Linked DNA regions of Ovis aries. The protein of the gene in region 1 purifies or fractionates together with the protein of each later gene. This does not show direct contact. Links are inferred from orthologs where the notes say so. Each region holds a gene or a part of one and is shown on either strand. Other genes may lie near its edges. The genes, in order: RAB27B and SYTL4.

Region 1 (3,824 bases):
GTAAGAGACACGTTTAATTTCAGCTGCCCAAATGCCTTTTCCCATACCTTCATCTCTCTCTCTGGGCCTTTTTCTTGTCCTCTGCCATTCACAGTCCTATTCTTGTCTATCTGCCATTTATTAAGAATATACAAATGGCATGATTACACAGTTTCCTACATATTCTCAGATGTCTGACATTCATCCTCTCGTAACCTTATCAGCAATGTTGTCATTCTAGCACAGCTTATAGGATATACATAGTAATGTCACTCTAAATGAACCACTTAGAATTCTTTTTGTGTATGCACTTTTAGCTAATATGTCCCCCTCAATGCAAACCTAAAAGTCCAAATCAGATTCTATATAACAAGTAAATTCAACCTTTAAAAAAAAGTCATCCTTCTGTGTTCTCCCTTCAGAAACCTATTCTTGTCCCCAGTGTGACAAGGTAATTTTGGTTCTGATGGAAAACCCACTGATATCTGTTCTTCTATACTCTTTTATATGTTCATCTTCTTTATGAAAAAACAAACTGAGTACCCATGATGGTATGATGACCCTGGGAAATCTTTGATCTTGTTTGGAGGGGCTTCAGGGATTACTGGTCAACTCTTCTGAACACTGCTGACTAGTCAGGTTTTTTAAAATTTCTGGCAGGAAAAGAAAGACATGCCGTTATACATGGTTTACTCAACAACAATGGTGGGGTTTGTCGCTCTTTTTGGAAGTGACGTTTGCCTGGGGTTCTGGATGATCAGAGCCTGGGGTAAAGTCTAACAGGCACATTTCTTCTCTGCTGACTTCTCCCCATCCAGCTTTCCAGAGCTGCTCCCATTGACCGTGTCGGGGATGTGGGTCTTCTCTACACACTGCTCCATCCGTTTCATTATTAAGTCCAGCAGGGTTTCCACAGCTTTTTCCACATCCTGGCCAGTCGCTGCACTTGTTTCAAAATATGGTATGCTAGCATGGAAGAGATGACAAATATTTTTGCAAGGAAGGAACCAGAAAAGATACAACAAGATGTGCCAGTGAGTCACACGTGCGAAAACACGGCTGGCTGAGAGATTGTGAAATAATCACGATTTTGCTGGCTGAGTTGGAAAACATCCTTGGTTTTGCTCAGTGAGTGAAAACTGGTGAGTTGCTTTTTCATGTGGGTGTAACCAGCATTACAGGCAAGGAAACTGCTATAAGAGGTGCTCAGGTACTTGAAGCCAAGCCTCACCACTGACTTTTTAAAAATGAAGAGGGCAAATATGCCAGACTAGTGATCAATGTTGCCATTAAACTATTAGTGTGTTAGTCCCTCAGTCGTGTCTGACTCTTTGCAACCCCATGAACTATAACCCACCAGCCTCCTCTGTCTGGGATTCTCCAGGCAAGAATACTGGAGTGGGTTGCCATTCCCTTCTCCAGGGGATTTCCTGACCCAGGGATCGAACCCAGGTCTCCCACATTGCAGGGCAGGTTCTTTACCATCTGAGCCACCAGGGAAGCCTATTAAACAATTACTTCTCTCCAATCAATTATCAAGAAGTCTGATTTAGAAATTAGGCAGGCATTGCATAGGATATTCATGTGAATACAATCTACATTTATTTAGAATCCAAAGTTTCAAGAAGACATGTACATTTATTTGTAAAACTCTCAAGGAGGTACAGAACTGTCACATTTGGCAAAGTACTTAAATTTGAAAAAGAATGACAATTTCTGCCTTGGGAGTCAGTTTCTAACTACTTGGGGTGTTTAAAAACGTTTTTTACTCTGACATTTAAGCTAGCTAGGATAATAATAATTGGGCTTCCCTGGTGGCTCAAATGGTAAAGAATCTGCCTGCAATGCATGAGACCTAGGTTCAATCCCTGGGTCAGAAAGACCTCCTGGAGAGGGGAATGGCAACCCACTCCAGTATTCTTGCCTGGAGAATTCCATGGACAAAGGAGTCTGGCAGGCCACAGTTCATGGGGTCGCAAAGAGTCAGATAAGACTGAGTGACTCACACTTTCACTTTCAGGATAAAAATTGCAGTATTACATCCAGGTCAGGTATTATTCCTTAGAGTTTTGTAGCTACTGAGAGGCTGTAGAATACAATATTCAAAAGAATGGGCTCTGATTTCAGACAGCCTGGATTGAATTCAAGCTCTACTACTCACCAGCTATGTGGCCTTCCATAAGTTACTCAGCTTCTCTGTGTCTCAATTCCTCATATATCAAATGGAATAGCCCTAAATCTCATATATATAATTACAAGGGTTAGATAAATTAAAGTCTAGGAATAGTTGCTAACACACAATAAGCATTCAGTAAATGTGAGTGGTTATTAATGTTGAATAGTTTCATTAAAAGCATCACATATATTCCTCTGGGAGATCTTTTTCATTCATCTGTCACTCCTTAATCAAGGGGATCCCTCCGAATATCAGTCTCATGACCTTGCCCCCTAACTAAGCAGCAGTGTGTGAGGTCAGAGGATATTTCCACATAGCTGACTTACCTGTATTTTTCAGCCAGGTCCCGGGCTTGCCGTTCATTGACTTCCCTCTGGTCTGGCAGGTCCGCCTTGTTGCCAATTAATACTATATCTGGGTTTTCACAATAAGCATTTGCTTGCAGTTGGCCTTGGAAAGAAAACAGATGGAACCAGCAAGTTAGTTATAAACAAGTGATGTCAAAAGACTGCTCATACTTCAGGGTCCTAATTGAATTGTTCACCTCCAGCTTGACTGTTTACGAGTTAAATTAGCCCAGGTGCTTAACTCTTCCCAGCCACAGTTTCCTCATCTAGAAAGTGGAGATACTGCCTCACAGGTGGCAGGCTGTGAAGACTAGTAAGAGTGTATATAAAGCACCTGTGTGAATACCTGTCCGTGAGCTTCTGCATCTGGGGAAATGTCCTCTGAGATGAGCACAGATGAGGTGCAGTGTGATCAGCCATCACAGATGAGGTGATGTGTGCTCAGCCATCACAGATGAGGTGATGTGTGCTCAGCCATGTCCAACCCTTCGAGACCCCACGGACTATAGCCTGCCAGGCTCCTCTGTCCATGGGATTCTCCAGGCAAGCATACTGGAGCAGGGTGCCACTTCCTTCTCCAGGGGATCGTCTCATCCCAGGGATTGAACCTGTGTCTCCTATGTCTCCTGCATTGGCAGGAGGATTCTTACTACACCCCGTGGAAATGAACATCCGGGAATGTTCACCTGAGTTGAATATACTGCTTTTCAGTGCATTTATTCTTCAAATATAAGTGAAGATAAGGAAACATGGTCTTAAAGTATATGTGTGTGTGTGCTAAGCCACTTCAGTCGTGTCTGACTCTCTGCGACCCTCTGGACTGTAGCCTGCCAGGCTCCTCTGTCCATGGGATTCTCCAGGCAAGAAGACTGGAGTGGGCTGCCACCTCTTCTTTAGGGGATCTTGCCCCCCTCCCAGGGGTTGGACACCCGTGTCTCCTATGTCTCCTGCAGGCGGTTTCTTCGCCACTAATGGCACCCAGGAAGCCCCTTCAAGTATAGGGGCTGTCTGCTCTTTCCTTCAGGAGGCTGCTACATTTTTCTTTCCTGAAAGCCAAGGTAATGATTCATAAGGGCAGAGCGTTTCTGAACCACCAGAAATTCATGTAGAAACAATATTAGGACAGGTTATTTGTTTTTCTCTATTTTCCAAAAGAAGGTGGTGGGGAGGAGAAGGAAGGGAGGGAGGAAGGAATGAAATGATATTTTCAAGGTTATGGGACTATTTTACTGTCTACCTCAAGGCATGCTGAGTGCAACCTTGTTGAGGCCAGAGGAGGAACTGACTCTGTAACACCGGTTATTTGGATATTAGAAATTAAA
Region 2 (3,824 bases), on another chromosome or scaffold:
TCAGAAAGCAGGGTGAATAGATGATCACACTCACACACAGGAAGAGAACGGTAGGCTTGCAGAGTTGATTATTAGCTGAGAGGAACGTAGCTTTTCACCTCTGGTGGGGTTTTCCCTCCAAATATGACACAGTCACTTTTCTCTATAGGCCTTTAGAGGGATAAGGTGGAGAAAAGAAAACCACAGATAATTAACGCCCCTTGTTTTAATTGGTAACTGATCCCTTCCAACCAACATGGTAACATACATAGTATACACCAAAATCAGACTCAGCTGCACGCTGCCTCCTTGCCCACCTTCTGGGGCAGTTGAAATTTAACAATAAAAATGTATAAAAAGAGAATAAGCAGAACAGCTCAGAGCCCAGGTGAGCTGATTGATAAACCTGAGCAGTTGTAAGCAGTTGTGAGTGTGCTGTTAGCTGTCTCTTACATTCTGGCTACAAGACCATTGGCAGTACTGGTTAGTTGCAGGGGCTTTTGTTTTGTTTAGTGACTATGACTTTCTCATGAGTGAAAACATGAGCAATGTAGCAGGGAGAGCATGCCTTCACCACATGTTTATGGGTGCTTTATCTTGTTTATTTCTTCCAGTTTTATTGAGATATAACTGATATACAGCACTGTGTAAGGTGTACTGCACAATGATTTGACTTACATACATTTTGAAATGGTTACCACAATAAGTTTGGGAACATCCATCATCTTATATAGATACAAAATTAAAGAAATAGAGTTTTTTTCCTCGTGATGAGAACTCTTAGTATTTGCTCTCTTAACCACTTTAATATATATAACACACAGCAGTGTTAATTATACTGTGTGTGTGTGTGTATCATGTTGTGTATTATATCCCAAGCACTTATTTATCTTATAACTGGGAGTTTGTACCTTTTGACCACTTTCATATAATTCCCCCTCCCCAGACCCCTTGCCTCTTATAACAACAAATCTGCTATCTTTTTCTATGAGTTTTGTTTGTGTTTGAAGTATAATTGACCTATAACACTATGTTAGTTCCTGTTATACAACATAATGATTTTTATAAGTTTACAAATGCTCCCCATGATAAGTCTAGTTACCACCTGTTATGTGGGTGCTTTATCTTCAGAGTACGATTGGCAGCATGATGAGCATCTATAGTGAAGCCGGTGATTTCGGGAACATCTTTGTGACCGGAAAGATTGCCTTTTCTCTGAAGTACGAGCAGCAAACACAGGCTCTGGTCATTCACGTGAAGGAGTGCCAACAGTTGGCCTTTGCTGATGAAGCCAAGAAGCGCTCAAATCCGTGAGTGCTTCTGGACCCTGCACAGTGCTTGGAGATGATCAGACCCCAGCATCTCTCTGGGCACCCTTGAACCAAAGCTCTCACTTCCTGGGCAGACGGGGAGGTGTGATTGAGAGTGGTTAGGGGAGATGTGGGAAAGGGGCCAGGATTAGGAAAATCCAAGAATGGTGTGTAGAGGAGGGCTTGATGTGATATTTTCATTTCATCATGGCATGTGTGTATGGAGGGCAGGGAAGTGAGAAGCAGGTTGCCATAAAGACAGCCAATGACTCAGTATTCTCCTTGGCTTCTAGATATGTGAAGGCTTATCTTCTGCCAGACAAATCCCGCCAAGGAAAAAGAAAAACCAGCATCAAGCAGGACACTATTAATCCGTTATATGATGAGATCCTCAGAGTAAGTATCTAGAGTCTGAGAGGATAGGAGAACTTGTTCTGTCTTGTGTGCTGAGCTGTAGCAATTCCTCTACTATATGGCTGGTCAACATGGTTTTCAGTGGCCATGTCTCTGTTTGAGGATACACTGTGGGCATCTGTTCACATCCTGACCTCTCAGCAAACAAAGCTGATTTGATTTTCTTGGATTCTGGTGAAGTTGGAGGGCCACGTGGTCGCAAATCTCATTTTAAGGGGTCGTTTGGGATCAGGAGTCTCCCTGGCAGTTCTTTTGCATATTCCAGTGTTCTCTCACTCACTGAAGGAAAAATTTATATCCCAGGTCCTCCCCTGGAGTATGGTAGGTTTTTGTGAAATGGGATAAGTAAAGGCTTTGAGGGATGAAGCTCAAAGTGCTTAGGGACTAAAGTGATTCGATCAGGACTATGGACTTTGTGTATGCTTGCTCAGATTTTGGAATAATCTTTTTCTGAGGAATTACTGTGAACTAATCATCTTGGGTATCTCCTTTCCTTTCACAGTATGAAATCCCAGAATCTCTGTTGGCCCAGAGAACTTTGCAATTCTCGGTGTGGCATCATGGTCGTTTTGGCAGAAACACTTTTCTTGGAGAGGCAGAGGTCCAGATGGATTCCTGGAAGCTTGATAAGAAACTGGATCATTGTCTCCCCTTACATGGAAAGGTAGGCTGCTTTAACAACTCCTTACAGAGCTTACATCTGAGGTCGAATTATCTGCAGAGACTTATGCAGGAACAGTTTTGATTGTAGTTTGTGGAACTCTTGCGCCCCCTGCTGGGGCTTCCTAGTTTAACAGTAATTTCAGATGCTCTTGGACGGCAAGTGTCAGTCATCTCTTCTGTTACAAGCCAGGTGAACGATGAAGCCATGGTTCCCCTTTGAAGTCTTTCATATATATGTGTGTCAAGCTTTGCTTCCTAATCTTCCAGAGTCTGGGTGTATCCTAACATCCTGACTTGTGCCTTTTCTCCAAGCTAACCTTTTGGATGTATCCTAATCTGTGCTGGTTTCCCAAACTACCCTTTTCACTACAGAAATGGGAAGTAAACCAATTTATGGAGCTCCACTTCCCGTGCTCATTGTCATACAAGCCAGGGGAAGTATTACTTTGAGATGGAATTGCAGGGGAGAGTGTAGCAGAGGGTGTCATATTACCTGGGATCTGAGTGTGGACCTGGATTTGAATCCAGACACTGTGATTTAACAGCTAGGTAAATTACTTAACTTAAAAACTAACTTAGGTAAGTCACCTAAATTCTGTGGGCCTTAGTTTCTTCATCTATGAAGTGGAAATGATAATAATATTCTCTTCTGCAGGATCGTAGACAGAGTACCAATCAGTGCCTGGCACATAAAAGATGTTCAGTAGGTTATTGTCATTCTGGTTAAGATGAAATTGCTAAAACAGAGTTAGGATTTGCCTCTTTTTTTCTGTTAAAACTATGGTATACTATATCTAGTCCTTCTTTTGTGAGTGTAACTGTAGGAGAAATTTCTGGTGGTGGAATTGCTGAGTCAAAGGAAATGAACATTCAATATTTTGAAGCTATTGCCCTCCAAAAATATAGTAACAACATTAAAAATCTCCCTTTAAGTACTAATACAAATAGGAAAGCCAGTATAATAAAACTATAGCATATTATTAGAAATTTAGAATTTCTTAAGCATTTGGCATATAAGTCATTCTCTCAAGGGCCTACAGTTGATGCAGTTCTAATGGAAATGTCATTGTAAACCATCATGAACTAGTGCCAACAAAGAATGCTTTCCATCAAAAGGAAAACCTGCACTGAAATGGAACTGTTTGCTCTTTGAAATTATTTTGAGCCAGAATGAAAATATGCTCAAAATGAAACAAGTACGCCAATTATGCCAATTTCCAGCTAAGGTGAAGCTCACAATCTAGAGACTAACAAATTGTATAGATATTTTATAAACAACAGAAAGACCACTCCAGTATTGCATACTTATTTTAACTGAAAACATTCTCCATTTTTTGTCTCTGATTTTTCTTTTTTTTCTTGCCCTAGTGATCCGTTTGCTCCCATTCAGTTTTCTCTTCCTGGCATCCACCTCCCTATCCTTCTATGTCTCTTTCATCCATTACACTGCCATGCATT

Evidence for each region.
Region 2: the proteins of RAB27B (region 1) and SYTL4 purify together in Homo sapiens (co-immunoprecipitation; 3 studies listed by BioGRID and IntAct, counting the BioPlex papers as one, with this or other methods). This does not show direct contact. The link is inferred for Ovis aries from reciprocal best matches to the Homo sapiens genes RAB27B and SYTL4.

What each region holds. Positions count from the first base shown.
Region 1 is NC_056076.1:54,601,793-54,605,616, reverse strand, and holds part of RAB27B (ras-related protein Rab-27B), read right to left. Parts: intron 2,606-3,824; coding exon 2,482-2,605; intron 946-2,481; coding exon 756-945; 3' UTR 1-755. UniProt on the Homo sapiens protein: Small GTPase which cycles between active GTP-bound and inactive GDP-bound states. In its active state, binds to a variety of effector proteins to regulate homeostasis of late endocytic pathway, including endosomal positioning, maturation and secretion.
Region 2 is NC_056080.1:132,467,872-132,471,695, reverse strand, and holds part of SYTL4 (synaptotagmin-like protein 4), read left to right. Parts: intron 1-1,110; coding exon 1,111-1,289; intron 1,290-1,582; coding exon 1,583-1,685; intron 1,686-2,205; coding exon 2,206-2,367; intron 2,368-3,824. UniProt on the Homo sapiens protein: Modulates exocytosis of dense-core granules and secretion of hormones in the pancreas and the pituitary. Interacts with vesicles containing negatively charged phospholipids in a Ca(2+)-independent manner.